5 linked regions of the Xenopus tropicalis genome follow. The main gene of each other region encodes a partner of the protein of the gene in region 2 in a complex. Links are inferred from orthologs where the notes say so. Each region holds a gene or a part of one and is shown on either strand. Other genes may lie near its edges. The genes, in order: immt, chchd3, apoo, micos13 and apool.

Region 1 (5,184 bases), on a different chromosome or scaffold from region 2:
AAAAAACAAGTAGGGTGGAGAAAACTTAGCAAGCTGAAGTACACTGCTGCAGAGATGGATAAAGATCAGCCTCGTTTATATAAAGCATAGGCCAATTGCATGAAAACTATTGCTCTGTGAGGCTACAGTTTTATTGTTATTGCTACTTTTTGTTATTTATCTTTCTACTTGGGCCCTCCCCTATTCATATTCCACTCTTGCATTCAAACCACTGCCTGGTTGCTAGGGTAAATTGGATGCCAGCAACTAGACAGCTGCTGAGCAAAAAAATAATCAAAAATAATGAATGAAACCAATTAAAAATGATCTCAGAAGATCAATCTCTACATTCAAAGTAAGTCTTTAGGTAAACAATCCCTATAAGCGATGCCACATCAGCGATTATTCACCAACAAGTGACAGACCGCTGCATGAGGCATAAATCATCGGATTAGAATTGAGAGTGCATTTCATAGATCCCATAAGAGGGAGACTGTTAAGGTGGCCATACATTAAGAGATTCGTGTTTGATGAGGTTGCCAAGCGAGCGGATCTTCTCCCAATATGCCCACCTACGGGTGGGAGATATCTGGCTAATTCTATCATTTGGCCCTAGGACCTAATGATCGAATTAACACGGGGGCATAGGCACCATCGGTTCAGGGAACCGTATCAAGAAGCTGATACAGTTCCTGATCCGAAGGACAAATCAAACCTTCCCAATCAAGATCTGGCCAATTTCAGCCCAGATGTCGGTCAGGGTGGCCCGTCGTTGGTGCCCATCCATGGTTAAATCTGTCTAAAGGACCTGAATCAGCCTGTGTATGGCCACCTTTAGAATCAGTTCAGACTGGTATGAAGTGATATTGAGTCAAGCAGAAAAGAGTAAGCTCCCCATGGATTTGCCTTTGTGCTACATCTCCAGTAAAAAAAAAAAAAATGATCTTGGAGGTTTTCAAATGGAGGGTTTCCTGTTGTGTAAACAACTATGTAAAGCCTATTGGTTCCAATACACATGAGCTTGTGTTGGGGGGAGTGCCCAACCCTTAGGGATACTGTGGGTTTAAATTGCTATGATATAGATTGGAATGGTTTCTATTCCAGTATCAGAGGAAGCAATTCTGGAATAGGGGTGGCTAGCATGTAGCCCAGTACTCCTAGGCTCTTGTGTATCCTTTGAATCTTCTGTGGTGTCTTCAAGCTAAAGAACAACCCTAATGCGCCGGGTCCTCTTGCAGTTTGTCACCCATCCATGCTGGGTTAGTGGCACATTGTTTATTGCCTTTGGCTTTTTCTTGGTGCAAACTAGGATATTATAGAGCAGTGATCCCCAACCATTAGGCGCCATTTTTACATTTCTGGCTCGGAGACGTTTTACTCCAAGAAGAGCCTCCTTCAGCCTAGCAGTCCACAAGGGGCCACCAAATCACAATTCTTATTTGGCATCTCCAAAGAACTTTTTTCATGCTTGTGCGGATACATATGAGTGTGGGTCATGAGTTAAAAAAAAAAAAAAAAATTCAGGCACCACTGTTATAGAGGGAGAGTATACAAACAATGCTCATTCTGAAGAGTCAGGCTCCTGCTCAGTAGAAAGCCCGTAGGGGAGGGCACTTTCCTGGCAGTGTCCCTCTATGGGGATGTGTATATAAGTCTTGGAAGCCAACTGCTTCTTGGTCATTATAACTAATTGTAGGTTGTTTATGTGGAATCTCTGCTTTCCTGTGTAAACGGGCACTGGGGAGTCCCTTATTTCTTTACTGACCATGTATAAGTACTTCCATACATCCTAAAGAACTGACATGGGGGGCGGTTTAACATTTAACTTGTAGCCAGGGTTACGGAGTCTGTACATAAATCCTTCGACTCTTTTTTGGTACTTCCAACTCCAGGTACTCAAAATTGCTTCTGACTCCACAGCCCTCCCTTGTGATTGCTGGAAATGAATTTTCCAATGTATATTTATGCCCCACATATTGCTTGTGGCTGCTATAATCAAGTTTCTAAAATGTGAGCATGTTCTGCCCTGGCCCTGGGGCCAAACAACCATCTGTTGGGGGACCACATCAAGAAGCTGGTACGGCCCTGAGCTGACGGCAAACCTGCCCGATCTGGCCAATTTCAGGATGTTGGTCGGGCAGGCCCGTCATTCGTGCCCATACATGGGCCAATAAGCTGCCCAATTGGTCTAAAGGACCCATAGCGGCAGCTAGAATCAGCCTCTGTATGGCCTATTGGTCTGAATTCTATTATAATAAGGGCAATATTTCCCATATGGCAGGCTATCAAACAAAGCACTTAACACAAATAAGATCCAATTTATTAAGGCAAAAATATATAGTTTAGTCTTCATCTCTGTTTATTTGAGTGCACTGGGAGGGAGCAAGTTTGACAGCAGTAGATGGTACCGTTTGGGTTGGATCAGTGGAAGCCGGGAACATAAAGACGTATGGTATGATACTGAGGGCTTCATGATAACAAAGAATAATACAATGCCGTGGTATCTCGGTACCGGGGAGCCGAGTGCAACTAAGTGGTACTTTGATTGGGTAAATAATTTTAACAACTCAGAACTTAAATGAGGTGACTGTTTATGGGGGACGGGATCATGAATTTCAACACTGCAACAAAATGTCAAATTTTGTAGTTTTCTGTGATGTCACTACTGCACTTGTGTTGTGCCCAAGCCCACGGCACTGGCGTAAGCAGACAGGATGTCTATAACTTGTCTCGTTTCTAGCGTTAATCTGGCCTCGTTCAGCCAGTCGTGCACCACCCTTCTGGACTCTCCTTTCAGCTGATTGATGAACTTTGCTGCCAATTCTAGATCCCCACGTTCCACGCAGAAAGAGGCATAACAAAGTAATTTGAAGGTGTCGAGGTCGTCGGGGCTGAGTTCGGTTGGTGGTTTCAGCTCCTTTGGCTCAAAAACAAGAAGGGATTGCAGGTAAGATAGAAAATATTGGTACAAACTGTTTCTGGTTTCATCGATCAAGGCAACCCTACGGGCTAATTTACGGACGGAATAGAAGCGGGCTCTCAGGGACTCCTCGCTGTACACGCCGCGGTGTAAGGATTCGTGGGGAATTGCCCCAGTCAAGGCTTCGGTGAATTCATTGTTGGAGCAGCTGGAACGGATGCCCTGGACCGCAGTTTCAAGTGGTTCCGTGGGGCTATCGCCGGCGGCTGTCTTCATGGTGAACTTCAGAGCTTCCACCGAAAGCCACAAATGATGGGCTTTCCTGGCTTCTTCCTCAGCAGCTGCGTGCCCTGAAACACACGAGCAGAATTCCATATGTGTGAGGGGGATCTGTGATACAGCTGGACACTTACTGTACCAAACCAGGCCTGGACTGGCAATCTGTGGGTTCAGGCAAATGCCAGAGGGGCTGCTGTAAGATGCCATAGACACAGACATTTTCCACACTTACCCTCGACAGCCTGCTCGATGCCCTTCAGTCGGGAATACGCCGTGTTCATGTCCAACGTGAATCCGTCCAGCTGTTCCTGTGCCAGGCGTTTAAACTGCATCTCTTGATCGGACAGTTTCTCTGATAATGACTGGGGGAAACAATAGCTGTTAGGATAAATGTGGTAACCCTCTTGTAAAGGAAAAGTTAACCCTCGGAGCATATTCATGTAGAATTGCTGGCAATGCTCTTTTGAGCACTTCTGCAATTTAGATTTGTTTCATTTTTCTAGTTTTTCTGTTTAAAACAGCGCCACCTGCTGTTCAGTTGGCAAATTTAGTGATACTGCTTGGCTTTTATATGCCAATTTGTCAGGCTCTGGGGATTACATCCCAGGAGTCTGATGCAATAAGAACACGGGGGATGATTTAGAGGCATGCAAGAAAGTTCTCCGATACCCCCCCAGAAAGCTACTAAAATACATAAACCTTTTCCATCTCATTTCACATGGCTGTTAAGTGGCCAACATTACATATATGTATACAAGCAAATATACTCTTCCAAGCAAACAGATGGGATTAGAGCAATTTATCACTGTATGGGCCAAGCTCTGAGTTACCATATAACTCACTGCTGCTCGGCTAATTAACAGCTGATTAAACGCTGCTGTGCCTGGCCCTTTAAAACTACTGACAAAGGCATATAAATAAATAGCAGCAGCTTAGTCAGTTGGTCTGTTACTGTAAGTTGCAGCCTCTAACCTGCTGGAATTCTGCCTTCAGTTCCTGCTCCTGGACATTCAGGACATCCCTTAGGTGATCGCTATGAGCGGCCGCCTGTCTGCGCAGCTGGGTTCTCATCTCTGCCTCCATCACCTCTCGCACTTCCTCCGCCTGCAATAGCCACAAGGGTAATGACATTTCCCGTAACAGTCTCTTTGTGACCTACAGAAAGAGTTGGCCGTTGCTGACCTTTTTTTCCTGCTCCAGGTGGATTTCGGCTCGGTGGTGCTCCAGTGCCTTGGTAACGGCAGCCTCCAGTGCCTTTTTGTCCTCCAGTTTTTGCTTCTCCAAGGCGGCCTCGATATGCTGCTGCTCTTTCACTCTATACTCTGCCAGCTGCTTGTGCAATTGGTCGATGCGCCGGTGGGCGTGGGCTATCAGGGAATTCAGGTCGTCTGCGCTCAGCCGCCCCGCTGCACAGAAAAGGCAGAGTTAAAACCCCAGTTTAGAGCCCACAACAAATACATTAAGCAAAGATTTGCAATAACATTTTAGGGACTCCAGCAGCTTTCATATGCTTCTATAGAGCCCAGTGGGTCTCTGCTACTAGTTATGGCTTTGATTAAATAGTTAAGCATTCTACAAGTCTATGCATTCATCTCTGGATGGCAGAACTTGGCCCCTAGTCCCCTAGGGGGTGGTGTTTTGCAGGCGCGGTCTTACGTTTATTTGCGCCTTAATGCACGCGCCGCGTTCGCTTTTCTTGCTTACGGCGCGTTCGTTCATGCCTTTCAATGTGAAGCGCGTTGCATTTCCACCTCTCTATGTGCGCCGCATTGGGCTCCGGGGGAACGGCGGCGGCCCAGTGCCAAGCAGTACACGGCCCAGCGGTTGGGGACCCCTGCCTTAGACCGTTTTGGCAGCGAATTGGCCCGTGTATGGGCACAACCGACGGGCCTGCCCGACCGATATCTGGCCTGAAATCGGACAGATCTCGATCTGGCAGGTTAAAAAATCTAGTTGGATCGGGGGCCGCATTGGCTTGTTGATACGGTCTCCGGACCAACTTTGCC
Region 2 (6,136 bases):
TGTCACTTAGACATAAAAACTGTATAATAAAAGTAATTTTCAAATTAAACATGAAACCTAAATTTTTTAACAACACATCCATACTCATTATAAAGGCATTTTAAATTCCCAGCTGTCAATCATATATTGTCTTAAGCTGGCCATACACACACCGATATAATTGTACGAAACATAGCTTTCAGGCCTTGTGTGGGCTCTGAATTATCATCCCAATAATCTTTATACCATGGTGATGGTCGATCGGATAGGTTACATAGTTAAGATGGGTTGAAAAAAGACCAAAGTCCATCAAGTTCAACCCTTCCAAGTGAACACAGTACACAAAACCTATACTTTACCTATCTATACACTCACAAACATAAACTATATATACCAACATCAATACTATGTGTAGATTTAAAAATGTATTTTATATTACATTTTATTACTTATATAGAGTAAGTGAAGTTTATTTTGCTTGACAAACACAATAGCAAAGAATAAAAGACTCCTTTGTCTCTTCATTGGCTGATGTAACCTAGCATGGATATGTGCCCTTGGTTTTATTTATATGAATCAAGGTTTTATATATGGACTGTTTTTTGTGTGTCAATTTATGTTCTTATAGTAATCTGTATACTGCTCATGGATGTAGGAGTTAACTGACACCAGTTTTCTGTATTGGCAGTGTACCAATGGCAGTGCATTAAACACAAATAAAATTGGGGCACAGACTATAAGTTGTAGTACAGACTGTTCTCACAATATATTTTTATTGTATGACAGTGTCTGAATGTAAAAGCAGTATTAATACTAGAGGCATTAATGCTAGAGATCAGCATTCAACCTTTTTAAGTGGAAGAAGACAAAGACAGCATTTAAATCTCAATATTATTTTGAACTGAACTAAAGCTGTTCTGTATAAATGGGTTACTAAGCAAACACAGATACATTTCCGAGATCAAATATAAAGAATACTGGCAGAAACCATTGTGGATTTTGTGTTTATCGTAATTGTTCTAACTAAATTTTGCAGAATTAGTAAACCATAAAAATTGGTAGGAAATCTAATTTAAAGCCATGGTGAGCGAATTCAGTAGTTTTGCTTATTTTTAAACTAACTTTGAAGCATGTAATTTGGTCACTTTGCTAATTTTCCTTTTAAAACAATGTATGGTATCACAGGGGACAGGTTTGGTAAACGTATTTTGAGGACAGCATGCAGTACCAGTTAAGCCATTTCTATTACAGTACATTTTTTATTGGGTTAAACTGTATTAGAGCACAGATTATTTTACTCTTAGAAAAAAATTATATTTTTAATACATTTATTAAAAAATGTATAATCAAATCAACCAAATTGCACAAAAACATTTAAGGCTTATGGCACACAAGAACAACAAAAACCATGTTAGTACAGCATGGATTTGCAAACTTGAGTCTAAAGCACAAAACTTTCAGAACAGTGGTTTCTGGACAGATAAGATTGATGTGCAATATGTAGCACCATGTCTGGTGGTAAAGCTCAGTGGCAGTCGGTTGCTGATGTAGCTATATCTTGTAGCCGCAGGGCCTGGATGTGCCAGATCACTGTACAAAAAAGTACCTAATTGATCTAATTAAACGTTAACACCAAAAGATTAAAGTGTTTTATATAGACGTAAAAACAATGTGCTGTTACACTGCACTGGTAAGGTTATGTGTACCCATAGAGCTAGCCATTAAATCTGAATAGGGCAAAAAGGCTTATGTTTACACATAACACTCATTTGTATACAGTTTCTTTGGTGTAAAATATTTTACAAACGTTTATAAATATGCCTTTGTGCATTTAGGACAAATCAGTCAGCTTGTATTACTAGTTTTACAGTTAATGGTATAAGGGTATAAGAAATACCGTACATGCTTGGAACCATAATTTTGATCAACATATTTTCATTCTGCTAAAAATTATTTAAACCCAGTAGGAATGTTTTGCTACCAATAAGGATTTACACAGATTAGGATCAAATAGAGGGTTCTGGAATATAGTTTCATCTGTTCTTTATTGTTGTATGTTATACTTTCTAACTGGTTTTTTTTGTAGCGCAACATGTGTGCCAGGCAACTAAAGTGGTTGTAAACATATTAAGAAATTTGTTTTCATGAAAATGTGTAACACGTTCTGTATGAAGTATTTACAAGCAGAGGTTGCAATGGCTTCATGTTTGTCTGACTTGGTATCCATTCCTATGTTTTATGGCTGTATGTCTGACAGTAATCGCATTTGGAGTTTTCCCAACAGTGAAAACTGTGCATTAAGTGAGCATAACAAGTACCTCAGATCAATAATGAGGCCAGCACTTTCCCCTTGTATGTTAATCTAGGAAAATTCTTTGTTGGTGGAGGTAGAATCATTTCTGTTGAGGCCTCATCAATATCACATTTGAGTGCTGGAAATGGATATGGTGGCATATGAAAATACAATGAGTGCTAGTCATAAGCAGACAAGATGTCCAGGGATTAAAATGAGTATTGACTGTGGAATGAAAAAGCTCATTTGATTTATTACATGCCAAGAGCAGTGATATGTGTGGGTCTCTGTTAATGTCACCTCTGGCATTTTATAAAACACACAGCTCCCATGTTTTTCCTTAAATGTTATGTATGTTAGGGGTTGACATAACCTTTCTATCAATATGCCACTAGCACTTTGCTCCGAAGGCATTGCTATACATAATAAATGGGGTTAGATAGAACTAAGAAACCAAAAAACATTTTAAGATAAAACGAATAGACAATACATCAGGAGGAGGCAGCACCCTTTCCCTTGTGTAAGATTTAAAATCAGTGCCAAGTTCATAGTGTAGGGTTATCAGGCAGAAAGGAGCCTTGTACTTAATACCAGCCATAGACAGGATGTAAAGACAGGGATCCCTGTGCACCTATTTTCTGCCATCATTAAATCGGTCTTCACACTGATAATCTGTCTCATAGACAGCCATCTAATCTAGTGACTTGTGGGCTAGTTAACCTTCTTGGTTCTGTTTTCAAACTGATATGAAATATCCTGTGCTTTTGCAAGTAATGTGCATATTTAGATATCAAAATGTAGTACTAAACAAAGATATAAGATTTAAAAAAAACCTGATCCATTGAATAATCATATTCTTGTAATTACAACAAAATGTATTGACAGTGTCCTTCATTTTTCCACTTAGGCGATATGAGGCTCATCCAGTTTGTGCTGACCTGCAGGCTAAAATTTTCCAGTGCTACCAGCAGAACCCACAGCAGTCTCTTAGCTGCTCAACATTGGCCAGCCAGTACCTGCATTGTGTCAACGGTGCCAAACAGGTGAGTGTGAAGCTGCATGGTTTGGTGTGCTTGGAGGGAGAATGCATATCTGCAACCTGTTTTCAGTAAAAAAAATATACTGCACTTTCTTCACGTTCATGTTAGTGATAGAGTTGAACTGCATGTGGCATGTTCTTGCTCTGTTAGAATACTAGGGCAGTAGTTAATAGCACATGCTGAAGCTCATAAGGCAGAGAAGCACTTGCACCTTTTTGTCATTTGTAAAGATATTACCTTATTTATGTGCTGATCAGCTTGTCTGAAGTTTAAAATACAAACTGTGATCTCAGATTAAATTCAACGATCTTATAATGGTTGGTCTTGTAATGGAGGATGTGAATTATACGTTGCCCAGCGCAGTCAGACCAAGTTCCCTATAGACCAGCTGTATGTTTAATATTGTTGTAAGGTGGGAGGAATTTGTGACCTTAAGCTCAACATTTGCCATAGGAACATTTATAATCTAGATGTCCTCACAGTAAAAAAATCCTTTCTGTAATGATATCCAAATTTTCTTTGCTTCAGCCTTCATGGCTCATTACTTATCACCTCTATTGTCACTAGACCAATATATGATATTGGTCTGTTTATTTAACTGTGCATGATAATTATAGCACCTATGTAGAATCTAATACATTACTTGTGCATGTATGATTTGTGTATTAAAGGTCCCTAAGCACAGCAATAAATGCTCTAGACAGCTAAACAAAGGTAGATGCCAGGGAAAAGGGGACAACAAGCCAGAATTCACATGATGTGGGGTATTAAATATTTTAACTGAATAAAACTGCTTTATCATACAGTAGCCTTACTATAGGTCTTTGCTGCAGCACTGCCTCTGTGTATTTCTATACCTCACAGAATGTATGCCATGCATCTCTCTTTAAATTATTTTAGTTTATCCTGTGATTCTTTATTTTCTTTAATTTCTGCATGCACTCACCAATCAAGCCCTCCCCTTAATTGACTCATCTCTCTCTAATATCCCCTTTCTGCTTTTTTGCCCAATAGATTTTATCCAACAGCCTTTGCTGTTTGCTTTACTAATTAGCTTTTTTTGCCTTTTTTAATCTTTTCTTTATTAATACTTCATACAAAGTTTAAAGTAGCAAAACTTCTGCATAAAAGGTAAAGCTGACATGCAGTTTGCATCTCCTTATGCATCTTCCTCCCTGCTTTTTTACTGTCATCTTCTATCCTGTGCTTTTTACTTAACTTTTCTTTCCCTTTGCGCTTTGTCCATTTTCCCACCCACAGTATTTTGCCCTCCCTCTTTTGACCTTTGCATTTGATCTCCCTTTGCATCTATTCCCAACCCTACCACTCTTGTGCCCTACATTTTATCCCACCTTTTACTGGTTTATTCTCATTCTGCCTCTGCACTTTATCCAATCTATTTAGTCCTCCAGCTAAACTGACACATATGTGTACTTGCCTTCTATATAGATTTTCCAAAAATATAACCTTAGGTGGGATAGCTATTTTTTTTTAATATTACAAATATTGTATACATATATCTTTTTATATGTTTCACATTACACAAGATATAGTAGACACTGAAATACAATCTACATTTAGCCTTATGGGTTTACTCTGTTTAATATGTTGCAGTCAGTAAGTTATCATCAACTGCTCAGAGAATATGGCAGAAGTTATAAGATTTGATCCTCTAGGACAACCGTGATCTAACACCTTTAATTTTGCAATTGTACTGCAATATTAAAAAAGTTTAATGCTTGAGAAAGTAAGGTACAGCATTTGCTGGAAGGAAAAGAGAGAATGTATTGTATACACATGCTGGAAAGATGCAGATCTCTTGTGAACTGAAAGTTTAGAAACCAGCATCCTAAGAACAGTCTCAAAATTACATTTATTGATTGTTTTTTTCCTTTACCTCAGTAAAACCTACATTTAAAAATACAAAATGTTCTTGTTCTTCATCTGCCTTTACATCGAAGGGGTGGTTCAACTTTCAGTTAACTTTTTTTGTTGTTCCTAACAACTGTACTGTTGGTCATTATTTATTTTTTATAGTTTGTTTTTTTTTAATTATTTGCCTCTTCTGCCTTTTTCCCAGCTTGCAAACTAAAAAAAAAAAATTGCACTGTGAGGCTACAGTTTTATTGTTTTTGCTGCTTTTATTATTTATCCTCCTTTTCATTTTCCTCTCTCTCATTCAAAGCACAAGCTGAGAATGGCAGAGCAGGTAGTGCCATTTTACATTATGTATAAGACTTTGTGGTTAATTTGATAATGAGCTCTGGAATATGGAAGTAATCCTAAATAAAAGCTTACATGTGTGAGGTGTACAAATTTAGACATATAGAACTTCTTACTAATTTCAAGATTAAGATTAATGGCACAGGGAGGCATTGTCACTGGCTTTCCTTTGCAGGCAGATAAGAAAAAAGGGCTTCCGTTGGCTCCTTTCTTATATCTGCACTGACAGGCAGGTGGAAAGTATGCATTTTCTAGCCAGTATATGCTCCGTGTGTCTGCACTCAAGCCAACAAAATAAATGTCAATGCAGATACTGGGAGGAGTAGATTGGCGCACAGAGAAAAAACCCAGGCAGAAAGAAGCCAATGCACAGTGCCATTAGCCTAAGCAGGATTGGGTTATGGGTGCTCTGAATGCTCTGATCCGCCTCTAAATTATTTGTTTTCTTCCAGAGCCTGCTTGGGAGAGGAGGGTAGAAGCCCTGTTTGTGGAGAAAAAGCATCTCAACCCATTTTAATATAAGGCCTCAGAAAAGAATAAAGCAAAGGACATAACATGATCAACGCTTGCAGTTATTCTTTATATCCACTTTGATTTATTA
Region 3 (6,704 bases), on a different chromosome or scaffold from region 2:
TTTGCCTGTCCAGATGATCAGAAGCCTCATAGGAAAAAAAACCCACTGAGCTCTGTAAACAAAATTTCCATAATGCCTCGCTCCTGCAGCAAGACCAAGACCCCTGTACATGCACAGTTTGTAAGACTAGGAGGAAGCTTTCTGCTGTATAGCTCAAATCACACAATCCAAAGGGAGGAGGAGGGAGTTTTTAGCATTCTTGTGGGAGGAGGGAGCAGGAGAGAGGAGAGAACTGTGCAGACTCTGGCCCCTGGAATGAAGGATTTTTCTGAGAGAGGAAGTCTAATACCAAAGAACATGTTGACAAAAAAAAGACACAAGAAATCCTGTGTTTCTTTTGATGGAGGACTTAATGCAGCATTTCTGTGAGTGCTTATGGCTGTATTTACATAGACCTTTCTGATAAAGTTTATTTAATTTTTACCTTTCCATTAAGGAGACCATTATATGCAATAAAAACACTGTTGCCAATATTACAGCTTTCTGCTGAAATATCTTATCAAAAAGTCACAAACAATGTCTTTTCACTGTGACAGATATCTATAAAACAGTATCAGGAATTAGTATGTGCTGCAAAACAGCACTGAGTTTTTAATGATGTGACAACATGAAAACATGGCAAAAAGTGAAGAAAAAACTTTTTTTTCCTGAATGATAGTAAATTGGCCCCTTCTCAAGTGCCAGAAACCCACCTTTTCTCAATAGTAAGTTACAAACTGTCCAGTAAAACCTGCACTCCTATAAACGCTCATTGATCCCCCAACCCAATTTTTCTGTTGATCAGCCAATCTACAAGCAAGAGTCTTGCTCGTAGATTGGCCCCACAGCAGAACAAAAATATTGCAAACATTCCAACAGATAGTTAGTAATTTGCAGATGCTATTTCCAGAATTAATAATCCATATATGGGCCTCATTTCTCTAGAGCAGTGCTGTCCAACTTCTGTTGTACCGAGGGCCGGAATTTTTCCGACCTACGTGGTGGAGGGCTGATAATGGAAGGCAGTTTTGACCACTCCCCTTTTTGAAACTGCACCCACTTGAAACCACACCCATGTTATCACATGACCATACCCATATTAATGGTTGTAGTACAGCAAAAACCTGCCATACTCTGCCTGCCCTACCCTGTCTGTGTGTGCCATACTCTGCCTTCCCTACCCTGCCTGTGTGTGCCATACTCTGCCTTCCCTACCCTGCCTGTGTGCCATACTTTCACTGTGTGTGCCATTCTTGGCTGGTTTGTGCCATACTTGGCCTGTGTGTGCCATACTCTGCCTGCCCTACCCTGCCTGTGTGTGCCATACTCTGCCTGTCCTACCCTGCCTGTGTGTGCCATACTCTGCCTTCCCTACCCTGCCTGCATGTGCCATACGTTCACTGTGTGTGCCATTCTTGGCTGGTTTGTGCCATACTTGGCCTGTATGTGCCATACTCTGCCTGCCCTACCCTGCCTGTGTGTGCCATACTCTGCCTTCCCTACCCTGCCTGCGTGTGTCATACTTTCACTGTGTTTGCCATTCTTGGCTGGTTTGTGCCATACTTGGCCTGTGTGTGCCATACTCTGCCTGTGTGTGCCATACTCTGCCTGTGTGTGCCATACTCTGCCTGTGTGTGCCATACTCTGCCTTCCCTACCCTGCCTGTGTGTGCCATACTCTGCTTGCCCTATGATGCCTGTGTGTATGGCACACACAGGCAGCCTACAGTGACACAATGCTGGCACTGCTCCTACAGTATGCACAATAACTATATATTAAAAAACTTTTTAATTGTAGTACCACCTCAGTATATGTTCTTTTTGTTGTGTGCAGGGATTATTTGTGGGTTTCTACTGCTCCTGAGGTGTGAACAGGGGAACAATGGGGGTGATTACAGCCTGAGCCTGAGGTGTGAACACTGCAGGGGGTGAACAATGCAGAGATTAAAAGGTGTGAACAACACAGGGGATTACATGTTTAAACAATACAGAGGGATTACAGCCTGAATCTGAGGTGAGAACCATGCAGGGGGCCAGTTAATCTCAGTACTGATATCATTTAAAGCTTACACAAGAGTAAGCCATCAAAGCAGCCAGACAGGTGGGGGGCCACACAGAGGGGGGTCGCGGGCCGCCAGTTGGACAGCACTGCTCTAGAGCAAGCTTGTGATAAATGCTATGCCCCAGCCCCATGTGAAAACTAGGCAAATTGTTAAAGGAATACCCCCAAAATAATGAAAAAAACTGTAATTCTAAACAACTTTCCAATATACTGTACATGAACAGATTTACATTTAAAATATGTTTTGAAAGTGGAACCTGTCTGTCCCTATCATTTGCTGGTGGTTCTGACTTTTGAAATAATGTAGCAGAAGGCAGCTGATTAACAGACCTATAAAGAATCACAAAAAGCTGACTTCTTTTAAATTATTTTAAAAGAACAGAAAAGTGTTAGTTTGTAACCTATTTGTGGGGCTTAGTTACTCACACAGACTCGCTCTCCGGCCCGCTTCTCTGGGTTCCGGTAACCTAGGCAACCATGGCGGCGCATCTGTAGACTCCACCTACCCCACCCCTGACCAATTGACAATGGTAGCGCTTCACCTCTGAGTGCTTGGGATACTAAATACCCTAGTACTTTTCCCGTGGACAGTGTTTGGGAAGTAATACAACGGGTAGGATTAAATATAGGTTGCCTATAGCTCGGAGTGAAACACTTGTAGGGCCTATGTACTTGTAAAGGCTGATTTTTCCACGGTTGGTACAGATGAGGCGTACTTTTTCGTTTTGTTTGCTTCGTGGTATTTTATGAGCGGTACTTCAGCCGTTTGAACTCTTAAAGTGAATTATTCCCGGAGTGGGTGTCTTGTGAATTCATTGTTTATACACATTTGCTAAGGGGAAAAAACGCCTTTGGAGCAATTTGTTCCAAGCGAGCCCCTGTTGTTCTATGCGGTTCGGCGTTCTGTGTTGCTAAGGGAAACGGGGCCTGCTTGTTCCTGCAGCCTGACCTCCCGTCCGTTGCCATGTTCAAGGTGAGAGATGGTATTCTGTGTGTAAGTGAGGGGCAGGTGTGGGCAGCTAGCCCTTTTCTTGATGAGAGAGTCCCATGAGGTATGGCGTGTACGAAGCGGCTGGTATGCAGAAGGTTTACCTGCTTTGTGTTCTTTATTGCTACTCCTTGCAGCCAGACAGCATGTACCGGCACCTACAGTGTCTGCAGACACTACTACTGGTTTAGCCAGAGATGCCAGTTAGTCTATATGAGCACATTGAATAGTGTAAAGAGAGTATCATTTTCACCCCACTGAGACATAGAATATATTCTGCAAATAAATTACAAAGGGCAGCAAAAGTTTTTAATGGGAATATCAGTGTTCAACTTATCAGGACAGGTACAGTCTGAGCTTTGTCTCATCAGCTAATGCTTGGTGGGTAATAGGTTGGCATTCTAATGTACACGTACCAGTGTGCCTTCAGAGCTAACCATGGCCAAATCACAATGTTGGTTTATTTAGAAATGGACAGACTGAAATGTGTGAGGAAGGAATGCATCTTCTCTCACTTCTGCATTAATAAGGGGCATCAGCAGCTAAAATCTTCCGTTTGGAAAGGCCAAGTGTAATTGTGGAGCACAGTCTGTCAAATTTACCATACGTGCCCAAATGGTCAGGCTGTATGGTCGCCATGGCTGCACGGCCCACAAAAATCTGAGTAGTATCTTCACCTTAATTCAGCTCTAAAACTGTCACATTCACTTAAAGGGGAACTTTCACCAATATAAAAAGCTTTAAAATAAAGTAATTTTTAAATTAAAACACCCATACCTGTTATAAATATATTTAAAAATGTGAGCTGTCAGTCATATTTTGTCTGCCCTGCATCTATGCCTCATCATAGAATCAGGACAGTCAATTACTTTCACTTTACATTTGGCATTTACTAGATGTCATTGCACTCCTCTCCCCCTCCCCCCCTCATCTCCTTATGGTTTATAGTCTTGTAGCCTGTGCATGGGCATCAGGTCCCCCATTCTGATACATACACAAGATTTTGAGATAATACTAAACTTGCCTTAATAACAGTACCCACAAAATGGCACCTGCCACCTGCTTGCTGTAGTTGTGAATTCCAAAACTGAAGGAAACAAGATTTTAATTATTAAGATTGTGTAAGTAAAGTTTATTGTGTTTAGCTAACAAGATAGAAAATGATTTGGAATTCAGTTATTCATTTGTAGGGTGACAGGTCCCCTTTAACTAATACAACCCAAATTTTAAAGAGTTAGAGCCTAAATCTGTGTTTGTTTTCTTAGCTTTGCAGGGCGTACATATTTAAATGTTACACAAACAAACTTCAGTCTATATGAACTAAACCTCTGATTAGCCTATATCTATCAATCAAAGCCATTTAAAAATATTTTTTTTTTATTGTTAACATAAACCAAAATAAAGAAGCAAAAATGGTTAAAAACACACCCTAACCCATTTTTACCCAATTTCTTAAGAAATTTCCATATAGCCTGTGATTCTGAGTGAGGGGCCCCTCCTACACTGCTGCTGATGTTTTTATGGGTTACGGCAGTGATCCCCAACCTGTGGTTCGTGAGCAACATGTTGCTCCCCAACCCCCTGGATGTTGCTCCCAGTGGCCTCAAAGCAGGTGCTTAATTTTGAATTCCTGGCTTGGAGGCAAGTGTTGATTGCATAAAGCCCAGTGTAATGCCAAACAGAGCCTTATATAGGCTGCAAGGTCTACATAAGGGGTAACAAATAGGCAATTATAGCTCTTATTTGCACCCCCAGGAATTTTTTCCATGCTTGTGTTGCTCCCCAACAATTTTTCCATTTGAATGTGGCTCACGGATATAAAAGGTTGGGGATCCCTGGCTTAGGGTGTATTTTTAACCATTTTTGCTTCTTTATTTTGGTTTCTGTTAACAATCATTTTTTTTTCTATTTAAATGGCTTTAATTGATGGATATAGGCTAATTAGGGGTTTAGTTCATATAGACTGAAGTTTGTTTGTGTCCCCTTTAACTACTACACTAAAAGTTGTAAATAAAGGTAAATTAGTAAAAAAGGCCCAGGTATCTTTAATATTCTTGAAGAAAATGTGTAGTACAGAAAACTTTATAAAAAAATAAAATAAACCAGCTATGATATACTAGTATCCTAATTATACGTATAAGTATAGTAAGTAATAAAAAGTACAAAATGCATTTCCAATTGAATGAACTCCCTAGCAGAAACTGCTATCAGGAATCCCTGGGATCTAGGGTTTTCTGGATAAGGAGTTTTTATGTATTTTAGATCCCCATACATTTAGGCTATTAAAAAAATATAAACATTTTATAAAGCCAGTAGGATTGTTCCACCAATATAGATCTTTATTTACATCATTGTAAATGGCTAACTAGATTTGTGTTAATGCTAAAAGACACAAGAGAAAGGGGGTCCCATAGAGCTTACAATGTTAAGGTGGCCATACACGAGCAGATCCGCTCGCTTGGCGATGTCGCCAAGCGAGCGGATCTTCCCCCGATATCCCCACCTACGGGTGGGCGATATCGGGGAGCATTTAGGTAAAAAAAAAAATAATCCGATCGTTTGGCCCTGGGGCCAAACGATCGGATTATGTGGGCGGCAATGGGGCAGTCGGATCGGGGACCGCATCAACGAGCCGATGCGGTCCCCGATCCGACCGGATTTTCTAACCTGCCCGATCGAGATCTGGCCAATTTCAGGCCAGATATCGGTCGGCCAGGCCGCTCTGCTCTCCCCATACACGGGCCGATTAGCTGCCGAATCGGTCCAAGGGACCGATATCGGCAGCTATAGTCGGCCCGTGTATGGGGACCTTAAGTGAATGGGAAATATACAGACAGAAATGGGATAGTATTAAGTGTTGTAATGTTGAACCATTTTTCATTTTTTTAGTGTATTTTGCTCACACTAAAAACTACTCTTCAAAATATTAATGTTCATTTAGACGCAGATTTATCAAAATGTAAGATTAGACTTCAGCACAGAAAAACTCACCCACTTTCTATTCCCTTTTTAAAAAAGAAGCAGCAACCCAGGATGAAAACAGGTTTAATACTTTTAGGGCAATGTCACGTGGGGTGACTTGGGCCCTGCGATTTTTTAGTATCTTGGCTTAAATCATCTTGTGCCATTGGCCATATAATACAGTGGGGTTCATTTATCAATTCTGGACATATTTGCCCATGGGCAGTAACCATAGCAACCAATCAGAAATAGGCTTTTTTTTTTGCAGATAAAAAAATGAATGCAACAACGTGATTGGTTGTCATGGGTTACTGCCCAATGGCAAATTTGCCCAGTGTTGATAAATGACCCCCAGTGTCTCTTTACTGCCTTGTGGTGTTTTTTTTTTTTAGAATGGTGACACTAGAGGGCAGTAAAATGCCATACATGGAATCCGTACAAAGGGAATTGTTGTTCTTTTTGCTGGAAATGTACTGCAGTCACAATATGAGGTTTGTCTCCGTACTTGGTCCTATTAAGGGAATAGTCCTGGGTTCCTCCACACTGTGTTCACATAGGTCTGGCTTTAAAACCTACTTTTACCATTGTGAACTTTTTGAATATAAATATATATTTAATATTATATTTATACAGACACATGCATACACACCCATTGCTGTTGTTATAGTGCAGTCTCTTGTATGTGTGTATGTGTGATCAGAAATCAATGATAAAA
Region 4 (6,821 bases), on a different chromosome or scaffold from region 2:
GGACAAAGGTAGGTAATTCTGGAGGCTGTTTAGAGTAATTTTACTTATTCTTTAAGGGGCGGGTGCAGGTTGACTATTTGTCAACCCGCACATTACTATTACATATGAAATCCCTGCATTTTGACAGCTCCACAGGTAGCCAATTAATAAATGCTTTGGATTTAAAGTAACAATGCACACCTACATTAAACACAATTAAGAAAGCATTTTTTTTATGTAAAGTATACATTTGTATGTGTTTATTTTGTGATTTTTTGTAACATATGGGTGTCCAAGTGTCTTACACTATAGAAGCTACAATTTTGTTTGTTTTGTAAAGCAAACAATCTATACAAAGAGCATGTAGATTGTGTCTAATTGTAATTCACATAATGGCATTTTATTTGGATTCTATTCAAGTAATGCATGGAATCCTTACCCCAATTCCAGGACTCGCAGATAGAGAAGTCTAATTTTGGTGCAGATGGGATCTGAAAAAGATCATCTTAAGTTTACCATAGACTATCTGGTCTCATGATAAAAAAATGTAACAGAGCATGATAAGATTTGATTCCCAAATTACAAATGCTAATTCCAGGCAGTGTCATTCTATGGCTACTAAAGCAAATAAAGTGCTGTCTTGTATAAAAAAAAAGGGCATTGACTCAAGGGATGAGAACATAATTTTGCCGCTTTATAGGTCCCTGGTAAGGCCTCACCTTGAGTATGCAGTGCAGTTTTGGGCTCCAGTCCTTAAGAAGGATATTAATGAGCTGGAGAGAGTGCAGAGACTGCAACTAAACTGGTAAAGGGGATGTTTTCCGGTGCTTGTGAGAGGACATGATTACTCTGTATAAATACATTAGAGGGGAATATAGGCAGTTGGGGGATGTTCTTTTTTCCCATAAAAACAATCAACGCACCAGAGGTCACCCCTTTAGATTAGAGGAACGGAGCTTCCATTTGAAGCAGCGTAGGTGGTTTTTCATGGTGAGGGCAGTGAGGTTGGGGAATGCCCTTCCTAGTGATGTTGCAATCGCAGATTCTGTTAATGCCTGGATGGAGGGGCTTGGATGAGTTCTTGAACAAGCAGAATATCCAAGGCTATTGTGATACTAATGTAGCCAAGCTGGTTTCCTCTGAAGCTATAATAACAAAGTACAAGCATCCTGGATGTAAATTGTTGTTTAAGGGCCCCAACGCTGCCGGCTTATAGGACATTAGGGGAGCTCCCAAACTTTGTTGTTAGAACTTAACTGCTAGTGCAGTTTACATTGCATTGCACTGTTATTGCTATTTCTGCCTGTTCATACTTTCTGCATTTATCTGCATTTAATTTTTCTAACTCATTTTCAGCCCAGTTCCTGTGTAATAAATCTGGGTTTACTTCCTGTTTGTGTTGGTATTTACTGGGAATCTTTGGGGTGTCACCACAGTCACAACTACAGTACACCAAGCCATACCCTAGGGTGGGCTACACTAATATCTACAGTTAGTATTAATTTCTGTATATATAGTTTATGTATGTGAGTGCATAGATAGGTCAGTATAGGTTTGTGTGCTGGGTTTACTTGGAAGGGTTGAACTCTGGTCTTTTTTTCAACCGTATGTAACACCTCCAAGACCTCTCCCATGCTGCAAATATACTTAAAAATGCTATTTAACAATTGTCCATGGGTAATACACACAGACATTGAGAAAAACAAAGAATACATTATTTCTCTGTGTGTATGTCACTGTCACAAAGAATTACATACAGTGGTACATACATTTAAATAGGATTTTGCCTGTTTTAAAATCAAAGTGCACTACTCCATCATATGTTTAACTGTTCACAAATGAAGGCTTTCTATGAAGGTGCATGTCTTTGGGGAAACTGGTTGATCCACAGGGCAATAAGAAAACTTGCAAAAGCTTATTTAAGATACATTTCATATTACATTGCCCAAGCAAGCATTTAGCCTTAAGGCCCCCATACAAGGGCCCATGTAGGGGCAGAAACAAGCGGGCTGGCCGACCGATATCTGGCCTGAAATTGGACAGATATCGATCGGGCAGGTTAGAAAATCCAGTCGGATCGGGGACCGCATCGGCTCGTTGATGCGGTCCCCGAACCGACTGCCCCATTGCCGCCTACATAATCCGGTCGTTCAAGCTCCCCAATATCGCCCACCCGTAGGTGGGGATATCGGGGGAAGATCTGCTCGCTTGGCGATCTTGCCAAGCAAGCGGATCTTACTGTGTATGGGGACCTTTAGTCAATGCATTTCCTTATTGTAAGCTCTAGTGAATAGGGACCTCTCTTCATTCTTACATGTTATTGTTATCATTTTATATACTGTATAATTCAGTCCCAGTAAAGAGCTTTAGAATATGTTGGCACTACAAAGTATACAATAATGTACTAGTTTAAGGCCTTGTGCATGCTACAAACATAATCTACATTGGTCTAAAATGCTTAAAGAGGTAGTAAACCTCCATGTTTGACTGTTTAACGCGAGCAATGCATAATCTACATTGCTTAAATTTAGAGCAGCCACATCACCTCAGGCAGTTTAATTAAAACATGCTATAAAAACATTTACACATGCTCTGTAATGTACTGATGGAACTGTGGCTGTATAGCACTGTACTAACCTGTACAGGAGGGATTGTGCCAAAATAAGTTACGCTGTTCCTTATACAGGTATAGGAACCATTATCCAGAATGCTTGGGATCAAGGGTATTCCAGATAAGGGGTCTTTCCGTAATTTGGATCTCCATACCTTAAGTCTACTAAAAAAATCAATAAAACATTAAATAAACCCAATAGGATTGTTTTGCATCCAATAAGGAAAAATATATATATATATATATATATATATATATATATATATATATATATATATATATATATATATGTGTGTGTGTGTGTGATATGGTACACAGGGAGGAGCACACCCTATACAAGTCCAAATGCCTTTGGTGCAGGTCAAAAACAAAAATATAATAGAAAGAGTGCCGCACACACAGGGACTTGTGGACCTGAGGAAGAGCACTGGTTGTGCTCGAAATGTTGGAATTTTTTCAATAAAAACACTTTCTTTTGTATCAAGTCCCTGTGAGTGCGGCACTCTTTCTATTATATATATGATATGGATATATAGACACACACACTTACACCTCTTTAATTAGTTTACCTGCCAGCCGAAGTAATTAGCCCATTCTTGAATGGCAGGCGGTATGGCAGCTGTGGTCTTCTTCAGCACCTCCTCTCCTTGGGTGCCACTGCCCAGCAGCCCCTGGTCATACGCCACATACACAGCTCCCCCAGCCAGGCCTGCTTTGGTGGCAAACCTAAAATGAGTAGGAATTTGCTAAAACCATTTATTTCGCACAGACTCATTCTCCATATGAAGCAGAAAGCCTTAGGGCGTGGTATTCGTAAAGCTTGAAGCTAACTATATCCGACAATACAGCCCAGCAAGAATTCTTGAATACGGACATTTTCTGTCAGTAAGTTAAAAGCAGCAGCGCTTGACACAAACTCACTTGAGTATCCTCAATGCTGCGGAAGCCATTTTTCCCCCTCCAAGGACACGCCGCGCATCCAGCCTCTCTACTTCCGATCACATGAGACGGACAGTTCGCAAAGCATCTCGGTAATTGTAGTGTAGAGAAAATATATGGGTTTTTTCTAAACGCTTGCTTGAGATAACAAGCGTTTAGTTTGAATGACCCTCGTTAACTATATAAATGGTGACATTGTTCCATAGCCTGTATTGTTGCTATATATGATACAATTTTAACTATAGCTGTTCACATAAATATAAAACATATGAACAAAAGAACTACTATTCAAAGTTTACATTTTTTAGCATACATAAAGCGTAGTGATAATATGGTTTTTGGTTAAGCAGTTGTGTATTGACATTGTATAAGGTGCCACAGGATAAAGAAAACCTAGAAATAAAATTTTGATCACCAGTTAAATTTTGGCATTTAGTACAACTAGCTGTACACTAGAATACTTCCCATTTTGTATGCAATGTGTCAGACTGGGATTCGACCAAATCCCAAAGTAAAAAGCTAAAATGGGAGAGCAAACAAGAGGGCAGAAGAAAAGACACCACAGCAGAGTACAGCCCAGTCCTGTTTGGATTGACCAATGACCCCCTATACCATTGCTGATGTTGGTTTCTGACCAACCAAATAATCTGGTTTAGAAAATCAACACCAGCTCAAGAATCAAGAAACCAAATACGGTAGCACTACTGTACAAATATGGATGCCACCTTTTCCCATTCTGAAAGCCAGACAGGGTGGGGTGGGTATCATTTGGCACATTGCTACAGCAATCTGGAAAAGTTCTGCATCAGTGTAGGAGAATCCTGCTTATTTTTCTTGTTTGGAAAACTGGCCATGCAGGTTTGACCCAGACAGCCCTTTTGAAAACTGGGCTGTCCTGGTAAAAAGCAGGTAGAAACCAGAAAGGTGGCAGCATAAAATTAGCCATACCCATTTAATCCTTTTAATACGCCCAATGTGATGATTTGTTATTGGCATTGGTTATTGGTATTGGAGGATAAGATGGTGCAAACATCAGTTGTCTCATAAATGCTCAAATACTTTAATTCTTTGGATGGTATTCTTTTCTAATCACAAGCGTAATGTTTACAACACCCCAGAGGTAGTCCCCAGCACTAGTGGATGCTTACAGTAGTCCCTTGAAATCTCCTATTCCTGACCCTAGCGCTTGAGTCCCTATACTGGCAGGTGACTTTGCAGGGTACTAACCTTCCTTGGTTTCTTTGTTAGAGTCTCTGACTACTCTACTAACTACCCTGATCCTGGCTTTCACTCCTAAAGCAAACTACTACAAAACCTTCTAGTGCTTTACCTACTGAGTTTTACCTCAACCATAGGCCCTTTAACAAACCAACTCTTCTAGCTAGTGGGGACCAAACTCACAGAATATGTGGTACCTTTCCTTTTTTAAGAATAGGGAACCTGACAACTTGGTCAGTTACTAAACTGCCAGGCCACCTGGCCTGTATTTTATCAGCCCGGAAAATGATATTTGGTCTTAATGTTATTAAATGAAAAAACTACTATTTAAAATATGAATCTACATAAAGGGGCACATTTCCTAATCCACGAACGTCCGAAAAGCGTCCGAATGCGTTTTTTTCGTAATGATCGGTATTTTGCGATTTTTTCGTAAATTGTCACGACTTTTTCGTCGCCGTTATGACTTTTTCGTAAATTGTCGCAACTTTTTCGTAGCGTTACGACTTGCGCGAATTGTCGCAACTTTTTCGTAGCCGTCGCGCTGAGTTAGAAAGTTTCGGATTCATTCAAGCTTCAGTATCGTGACTTTCCTTGGGCCAGGTTGGAGCTGCAGAGTGCCATTGAGTCCTATGGGAGGCTTCCAAAATCAAGGTTTGCCAGCCGTCGTAACGGCTTTGAAAAAGTCGCGACAATTTACGAAAAAGTCGTAACGGCGACGAACAAAATGGCAAAAAATACGAAAAAGTCGCAAAATGTTCGTTTCCAATCCGAATTTTTCCCATTCGGATTCGTGGATTAGTAAATGTGCCCCAAAAAGTTACCTATAAGTAATGTTAATAATTTTTCGCTGATAGGGCTGGTTTTGTAAGTAATTGTTACTTGAAGTTCCTAAACCTGACTGTTTTGCCAACCAGACTGTCCCTTCTCAGCCTGTCAGTTATAACTTCTAATGCTAATGGACTCCTGCTGCACAAATATGGCAGCCCCCTCATAGAGCAACATGGGGGATCAGATAGGTAATGTAAAAGCACTGGGGAAATACTTTTATGGCAAAATTATAAATAGCATGCAAAAACAGTGTTATGACAGATGTAAAAAAAGGTTTCATTTCTGGTGTCAGTATCTCTTTAATAGGAAAGAAAGAAAGATAAATATATATAGGAAGGCTGATATTTTCTACAGAAAATGTGGCAACTTTATTGGGAAACAACTCTTACTCCCAATAGTAAATCAAGATGAGCTCTTAGCTGTCCAAAACCCTCCTACGGGACTACCTGAATAAAAGGTTGGCAAGACCTTTACCCTTCTACACTAACAAACAAGATTCAGTCACCTGAAATTGTAAATGTTTTTGTAGATGAGATTTTAGATTAGGTTGGTTGGTTCTAATTTAAATATAGAAATTAGGGTTCACATTTTGAAAGATTCTGTAGTCAGTAAAATTTCAAGTCATCTTACAAATATTCTAACACTGAAAAAAATAACTCTATATATGGTATGGTTTACTGAAATATTGCAGTGGAATGGTTAATTGCTGTTTAGCAATTTCCAGTGTTCTGTACCTTGGCAATATGACATATCTTGTGGTCTGTTTTTATCATCTCTTCTGCTCAAAGAACAAAAGATAAAACGAAATGTTATTGGCTATATACGCAATGCAGATTTTGCAACTCTCCTATACTCTCTGAGTATATCTTGTTATCACTTCCAGCTAGATAATATATAGACATGTGTGTTAAGTCACTGGTAGAACAAGACCTTTAGGACCCACTACTGTTGACTCCCAAATAAACAGTAATCACAGGGACAGTTTCTGTAATGAAAGAAACTAAGGTTAAGGTGCACAGTTAATAACGCAGAGTATATATGGGGAACAAAAATCAGCACTCTGTAATTGAAAAAGTTGTGGTGGGATGACATACATGTTGCTTTAGTTTTCTGAAGTTGGCTGAAGTTTCCTTGTGAGGCAACTTCAGGCGACTTCGGAAAACTGAAGCGGCACATATGCTATCCCACCAGCCTAAAAACTACAGTTATAAACATTGTTATTTGCTATAATAAATTAAAAAAT
Region 5 (6,136 bases), on a different chromosome or scaffold from region 2:
TATCTGTTTATTCCGTTCCTGCACAAAAATCTAAATATATCGAAGAACACCCTGGCCGTCTCCAGTCTGGATTGTCTTCAGTGAGGGAAACTATTTGGCCTTATGTGGTATGGGGCAAGGTAAGTTCTCCCATCTCTACTTCATCCTGTTCTTTAATATAGACCTCCTACTTATATTTGTTTTTATATTTTTGCCCCAAACAGATAAGTTTTTACACACTTCTGACTTGAATTCATATTAAGAGTTTACCATTTCAAGAAGATGCTTTATTAAAAGGTTGAAAGATGGTACTGATAAGCTGTACAACTTCTTGCCTATTTTTAGTTTTGTTTAAAAGTTTCAAGCCATGTGCACAGCAACTCCTTCACAATTTATAAAACACTGCCATTTAAAGTCCATAGGAGTAAATGACATAGTCCATTATCATTTCTGCTGTTTGCAGGGTTCCAGCCCTGTAAATAAAGAATAAAGTATCCGTTTTGATATATCTACACAAAGTCTATCAAACACACGAGCATGAGTTCCAAAGAAAAATGCAAACTCACAGTACATAAAAACAGATATAAATTATAATCTTGGTTAGGACCATGTGGATAAGGGGAATCCAGGTTTTTTTTATCCACCATACTTCTCTTTGTTTAAGCTTCAATTCATTATCCCCTCCCCTCTTGGGGGGGAATAATGTCCAATAAAGTATATTTAAGCTGATATGCAGCGTGCCCCTGTTCTTCAAAATGTTTGGAAAGTGGTAGCACCACATTCCCAACATTTATTGTAGGTTTATGTTGTAATATCCAGGATTTAACTTTTTTATCGTTTCCCCCATGTAAATCTATCCACACAGGCAAACTATAGCATACACAATATGTGCCTGTAACTCAAAACATTGTCCTGTGGTTGGATGTTGAAAAACCTTCCCTTTTATCACATTTGCACTGTTTACACTTAAGACAAGGATACATGCATATTTTTTAGGACCCTGATCCCCCTTTTTGGCCAGCTGAGGATACCAACCTAGAGTCAATTGTTGTACCCTACCCTACATTTCTCTCGGAACTCATATAGAAGCTCTCTTGTCTAGTAGCAAGTTTATATAAAATATATTGCTGTCAGAAAAGAAGCACCTGTCCCATTTGAGCCTTTTTAATCTGAATGTCTATGGTAGCCTATTCAGTGACAGACTTTTTTCACTGCCAGAAATATCCGGGGAATAAATTCTCTGGTGTACCAGAGGCCTTAGAGCTTATGAAACAATTTACATTTTACTAGTGCACAGTTACTGCACTGTATATAAATACACATAAATCCCTTTCATGTTTTTAATTTTGCTGTAACATTTAGAATTCCAAATTTTGATTGACTTTGTATGTGTAATTGTAATGTATACATATACAAATATGACAGTTCTGTCCTACCTTCATTTGCCCCTTGGTAAATGTGTAGCATAAGCTACTTAAGAAGAACCATGGTGCTTTCTGCATTGCCTGTATTGTACATGCATTATTCCCTTTTTTCTGCTGACAGTTTTTATCTATTTTGCTTTTTAAACTTAATTAAATTTTAAACATAAAAAATACACAGGTCAGCATAGCATGAGAGTAGCTAATATATCTCTAGTTCACACTGAAAGCTGATACAATAATAGCTATGATCAGGGAAAAGAAGGGACGGTTAGTACAGGAACAATCTTCAGTTTAAAAAAAAATTGGGTACACAATGTATTTTGTAGTTAGTCATGCAATATTTATTTAGAATAGATTGGCAAGCAGTAGGTTTTCAGATCCTTCTTCCACGCTGAAAAAATATTTTTGTTCCCTCCCCTCCATTTTGCATCTGGTGGCGAGGGTGGGGATTAGCAATCCTTACTTGCCCCCTTAAGCAGTGAGGTCTAGCCCCCTAAATGTTTAAAGGAGAAGGAAAAGCATTTTATTGCCAATAGATTAGTCACAATAGTGCAAGCTAGAACGCTATATTTAGCTTGTTCTCAGTAGCACTGCACTAGCTGCTGGTAGCTCAGACTACACAGCACAGTTGGACAGGGGAGAGAGATGATGGGAGGGAGGAGAGAGGCATAAACTGAGCAGGCTCGTGCCATGCCCTGAAGGATTTTTATGACAGCAGGCAGTCTGAAACAGATCATGTATACAGAATAAAAGGAAAGAAATGTGGCGTTTCTTTTCACTGAGGACTCAGAGCAGTGTTTCTGTGAGTGCTTATGGCTGTATTTACATAGACCTTTTCTTCTCCTTTAAACACTGTATACAACACATAGTTAAAGCTATATGTGAGAGTCCATGTTGTACTGTATTTGTGAGGCCAAAAGAAGTGTATAATTTTGCCAATCATCTGTGTGTAGGGACAGATAAAGTTTAACTTCTCCAACTCCTTTTTTCATAGCATTTTTGTTCATCTGTCAGAAATGGAGTAGAAGATACAGTACAGTTTGGGAAAGGTGAGTTCAAAGGGCTACATGAAGGATGAAAGCAAAAGATCAACTGAAAATTCAGGGACACAGCTAATACATGTTGCAAGGAAGCACTGATTGTATTTAAAATAAACTGCAATTAGTCAAGCCCTGCTAACTGAATTTTTAGGTGCTCTGGTCACCCTACCCCAGACCCTCTTACCCTTCCAAAAAGCAGGTTTCTTGAAGGCTGGAGAAGATTTCAGCATTGTAGAGATCAAATGAATTCAGAAATATTTTGCATTGCTAAACATGCTCTACCTACTGGTAGACAGGAGAATAGCAACCAAACAGGATAAACCTATTATGTGACAAGGGTTGTAGTAGGAGAAACCTTATATCTTATCCAAAAGCAGTTCTTTTGTGTAGTGCTGGCTTCTTCTTAGGACTCAGGGGCACAGGGGGAGATTAGTCGCCCGCGACAAATCTCCCTTGTCACGAGCGACTAATCTTCCAGAACTACCATCCCACCGGCGAAAATGTAAGTCGCTGGTGGGATGGCACACGCTGAGCTGGCGATTTCAGCAAATCGCCCAGGGGGAGATTAGTTGCCCACAGTTACTCTCACCTAGGACCGCTTTCTGCAGCAGGCTGTTTTTATGCAATGGGTTTTGGATTCTTATAATACTGATTTTTGTTTCAGATAGTTATGTTTACCTGAAAAACCCTCCTCCAGAATTTCTTGCAAGATTGGGTATAATCACAGTTAGCGGTTTAGCTGGTTTGGTCTTGGCAAGAAAAGGTAAGATCCCAATAAATTATTAGATTATGTCTGTGTTATTTTCCATATGATACATTAAGCCAGATTTTTCAAATATGTAGCACTGAATGGTGTATATATCTTGATTTCAATTCATATTTTTGTTAAATGTCCATCTTTTATATTGTCAGTAGCTGACAAACAGAGCTTAATGTTTCACTATATATCTGGCCCTGCCCCTAAGCTACATACAAAAGTAATATCCAGGACACATCCTTTAACTAGCATCAACACTATTACAGGTTCCCTCAGTGGGGCAGTCTGCTGGTTTTTGATTCCACTTAAATAAAAAAAGCGTTAAGACAAAGCAAATCAAGATGCCTTTTTATAATTCAGTCTAACATGCCTTCTATTTCCATCTTTTGGCTGGAACATTATTTGTAAGACCGCAGCTTACAGTGGTGGGCACTAGGGAAGAAGGGACTTCTCATGTTATGCCCCACTTACCACACTTATTCATATACAAACATCATCTTTTTAATCAAAGTCCTTATTTATAAATTCATTTTCTACCTACTGAACTGAAAGTCATATAATGCTAATATATTAATAGGCTTAGTAAATGTTTTTCATGCCAAGATTATAGCCTGATTTTAAAGGTCAGCTGATAGAACTCAATAATTTAAGTTGATAAAACATACATATGCATTTTGAGACAAGATTGTTTACATACTGGCAGTTTTAAACAGTTTTTATTGTATCCTTGTTTCTGTTTTGATTGTTGTATTTTGATTTTAACAGGATCCAGACTAAAGAAGATTGCTTACCCCCTGGGGCTTACAACATTAGGTATTTCAGTTTGTTATCCAACACAAGCAGTCATTTTTGCAAAGGTGAGCAGCCCATAATGTATTATTAATATGGAATCTTGGCCATTTTTTATATCATTGAGATGCTGCAGTGTCGCTTAACAGCTGCAAGCGCAAGCAACATATTTCGCTTAGATTACAATTCTTGCAAATCCGGAATCACCAGGAGTGCTGAATAATTTATTTCTTATATATATTTAAACCTGAACAGTGAATATTAGCGATCAGAAAGCTATTTGCATGAATTACCTGTATGCCTTTAAAGCTAGGACTGTTCTGTTCTTACTGATCAGTTAACACTGGAACAAACCAGTAATGACATTTGTCTTTATAGAGCTGTCATTTCCACTACTCATTTTCTAAAGGTGCATGGATTTGTTCTTCCAGTTAACAGGGCGAAAGATTTATACAGTAAGTCATCAAACATATGATACATTGAGTTCCTTGTGGAAAACAAGCATCCACAAAGAAGATAAACCTCAAACACAAACAGAAGATCTTAAGGTATTAATTCTCTGTATTAATATAGTTACACAAGTAAAACTGTGCTTTTAAGTCTGTAGTTCTTATAATGAAATGGTTTTTTATACGTGAAAGCACTGGTACTTGCCAAAAGATAATTTCCTGTCTGAAAAGGGTCAGTACCAGCATTTACTCATTTCTCACTGAAGTGAAAGGAAGGCAGCAGCTGCCATTTTGGGAACTTTTATGTCAATAAAATATGTGAAATATTCCAGCATGGAATACACTCCTTATGCCATCAGCCTAAAATAAGAACTGCTGCTGAAAACAGAAATGAGACTCCAGCGAGTAAGCATCAATAATGTAGAGTTCTTGTCCTCAAATGCAAGAATGGTTACTGTGATGGATTTAAAAAAAAATAAAGATGATAGTTCGGAGAAATAAGCACTAGTATTATATATGTGATTATTTTTACTTTTTTTAAGAAATAAGATTAATCCTATTATTGTAAGGAGGGCTAGACTTTTAGTTGTAACACATACTACAGTGCCTGGTGCCCCGGAAGCATTTATAGGGCTGCTCTTATGAGCTAAACTAGAATCTGCAGCATAAACATTGGCCTACCACACAGTCTCTAGTCACCTTTTTGGGAAAAGAAAAAGTACATTATAACATTTCACTATTTCAAGCTGCATTCAACTGTGTAATTATGACAGCCATGGGATAAAAGGGCATTTTGTTAGAAATATGTTTTCCAGATGTCCAGATACATATATTTGTCTTCTGTTATCACAAAACAAACATGCTGAAACTTTGGGGGTTGTGTTTTTAATAATTTGGTCAGATAGAGAACTGTATAGATTTAACGGGTGCATATGACTTGAGTGCAAATGAGTACTGGGGCTCATTTATCAATACTGGGCACGTTTGCCCATGGGCAGTAGCAAAATTGTAGCTTTTATTGTTATACCTGCAGCTGGCTGTCACAGTACTTAGTTATATCCACCTGTTAAATGAGCAGTATACATCAATGTATCATTATGAGTTCAATGAATAAGATGTGTGTTGACACAAACTTTGGTGGAGTTAGACAAGGATGCAATTTGCACTTTAGCAAAGATTCCCCAAGGTGAGAAACCAGATAACCAGACTTATTGACACACTCCCTCTTTGCTTATGGGACTGGCTTGTATTTTAATTTGCATAGAATTTAAACAGGCTCTCCTTATCATGGCAATGATTCTATTATCTATATGGAACAGAGGGACAGTATGTGGTTTGTTCCAACTGACTAGAAATCTCCATAAGTCCATGAAGCAAGAAGGGGTGGGAACTTTATTATCACGGGGGGGTACGTTGGTTGATGAAAACGGGGAAAAAGCTGAAATTTTGAACTCTTATTTTTCATCTGTCTATACATCTGAGGAGCCAGATAATGAAGGCTTCCCTTGTAATATGCCCAGTTCTAGTAATTTAGCTACTGACGCATGGGTCACTCGGGAGGAAATTCAAAAGAGACTTGAACATGTAAAGGTAAACAAAGGTCCAGGGCCGGATGGGATTCATCCCAGGGTATTAAATGAGCTGAGCGCTGTGATTGCCAAACCTCTTCACTTAATTTTTCAGGATTCATTGAGGTCT

What was found.
Region 1: chchd3 (region 2) and immt share a complex: the UniProt entries of both Homo sapiens proteins name them as parts of the mitochondrial contact site and cristae organizing system (MICOS) complex. The link is inferred for Xenopus tropicalis from reciprocal best matches to the Homo sapiens genes CHCHD3 and IMMT.
Region 3: chchd3 (region 2) and apoo share a complex: the UniProt entries of both Homo sapiens proteins name them as parts of the mitochondrial contact site and cristae organizing system (MICOS) complex. The link is inferred for Xenopus tropicalis from reciprocal best matches to the Homo sapiens genes CHCHD3 and APOO.
Region 4: chchd3 (region 2) and micos13 share a complex: the UniProt entries of both Homo sapiens proteins name them as parts of the mitochondrial contact site and cristae organizing system (MICOS) complex. The link is inferred for Xenopus tropicalis from reciprocal best matches to the Homo sapiens genes CHCHD3 and MICOS13.
Region 5: chchd3 (region 2) and apool share a complex: the UniProt entries of both Homo sapiens proteins name them as parts of the mitochondrial contact site and cristae organizing system (MICOS) complex. The link is inferred for Xenopus tropicalis from reciprocal best matches to the Homo sapiens genes CHCHD3 and APOOL.

The regions. Positions count from the first base shown.
Region 1 is NC_030677.2:17,808,686-17,813,869, forward strand, and holds the end of immt (MICOS complex subunit MIC60), read right to left. Parts: intron 4,585-5,184; coding exon 4,361-4,584; intron 4,283-4,360; coding exon 4,151-4,282; intron 3,541-4,150; coding exon 3,411-3,540; intron 3,250-3,410; coding exon 2,642-3,249; 3' UTR 2,278-2,641; downstream 1-2,277. UniProt on the Homo sapiens protein: Component of the MICOS complex, a large protein complex of the mitochondrial inner membrane that plays crucial roles in the maintenance of crista junctions, inner membrane architecture, and formation of contact sites to the outer membrane.
Region 2 is NC_030679.2:85,995,979-86,002,114, reverse strand, and holds part of chchd3 (MICOS complex subunit MIC19), read left to right. Parts: intron 1-3,179; coding exon 3,180-3,315; intron 3,316-5,987; coding exon 5,988-6,011; 3' UTR 6,012-6,136. UniProt on the Homo sapiens protein: Component of the MICOS complex, a large protein complex of the mitochondrial inner membrane that plays crucial roles in the maintenance of crista junctions, inner membrane architecture, and formation of contact sites to the outer membrane.
Region 3 is NC_030678.2:43,139,421-43,146,124, reverse strand, and holds the start of apoo (MICOS complex subunit MIC26), read left to right. Parts: upstream 1-2,994; 5' UTR 2,995-3,004; coding exon 3,005-3,013; intron 3,014-3,059; exon of another isoform or gene 3,060-3,074; coding exon of another isoform or gene 3,075-3,092; exon of another isoform or gene 3,093-3,094; coding exon of another isoform or gene 3,095-3,115; intron 3,116-6,704. UniProt on the Homo sapiens protein: Component of the MICOS complex, a large protein complex of the mitochondrial inner membrane that plays crucial roles in the maintenance of crista junctions, inner membrane architecture, and formation of contact sites to the outer membrane.
Region 4 is NC_030677.2:114,329,758-114,336,578, forward strand, and holds the start of micos13 (MICOS complex subunit MIC13), read right to left. Parts: upstream 3,624-6,821; 5' UTR 3,541-3,623; coding exon 3,512-3,540; intron 3,317-3,511; coding exon 3,160-3,316; intron 471-3,159; coding exon 419-470; intron 1-418. UniProt on the Homo sapiens protein: Component of the MICOS complex, a large protein complex of the mitochondrial inner membrane that plays crucial roles in the maintenance of crista junctions, inner membrane architecture, and formation of contact sites to the outer membrane.
Region 5 is NC_030684.2:63,231,457-63,237,592, reverse strand, and holds part of apool (MICOS complex subunit MIC27), read left to right. Parts: coding exon 1-119; intron 120-251; exon of another isoform or gene 252-371; coding exon of another isoform or gene 372-452; intron 453-2,397; coding exon 2,398-2,452; intron 2,453-3,107; coding exon 3,108-3,206; intron 3,207-3,965; coding exon 3,966-4,057; intron 4,058-4,420; coding exon 4,421-4,537; intron 4,538-6,136. UniProt on the Homo sapiens protein: Component of the MICOS complex, a large protein complex of the mitochondrial inner membrane that plays crucial roles in the maintenance of crista junctions, inner membrane architecture, and formation of contact sites to the outer membrane.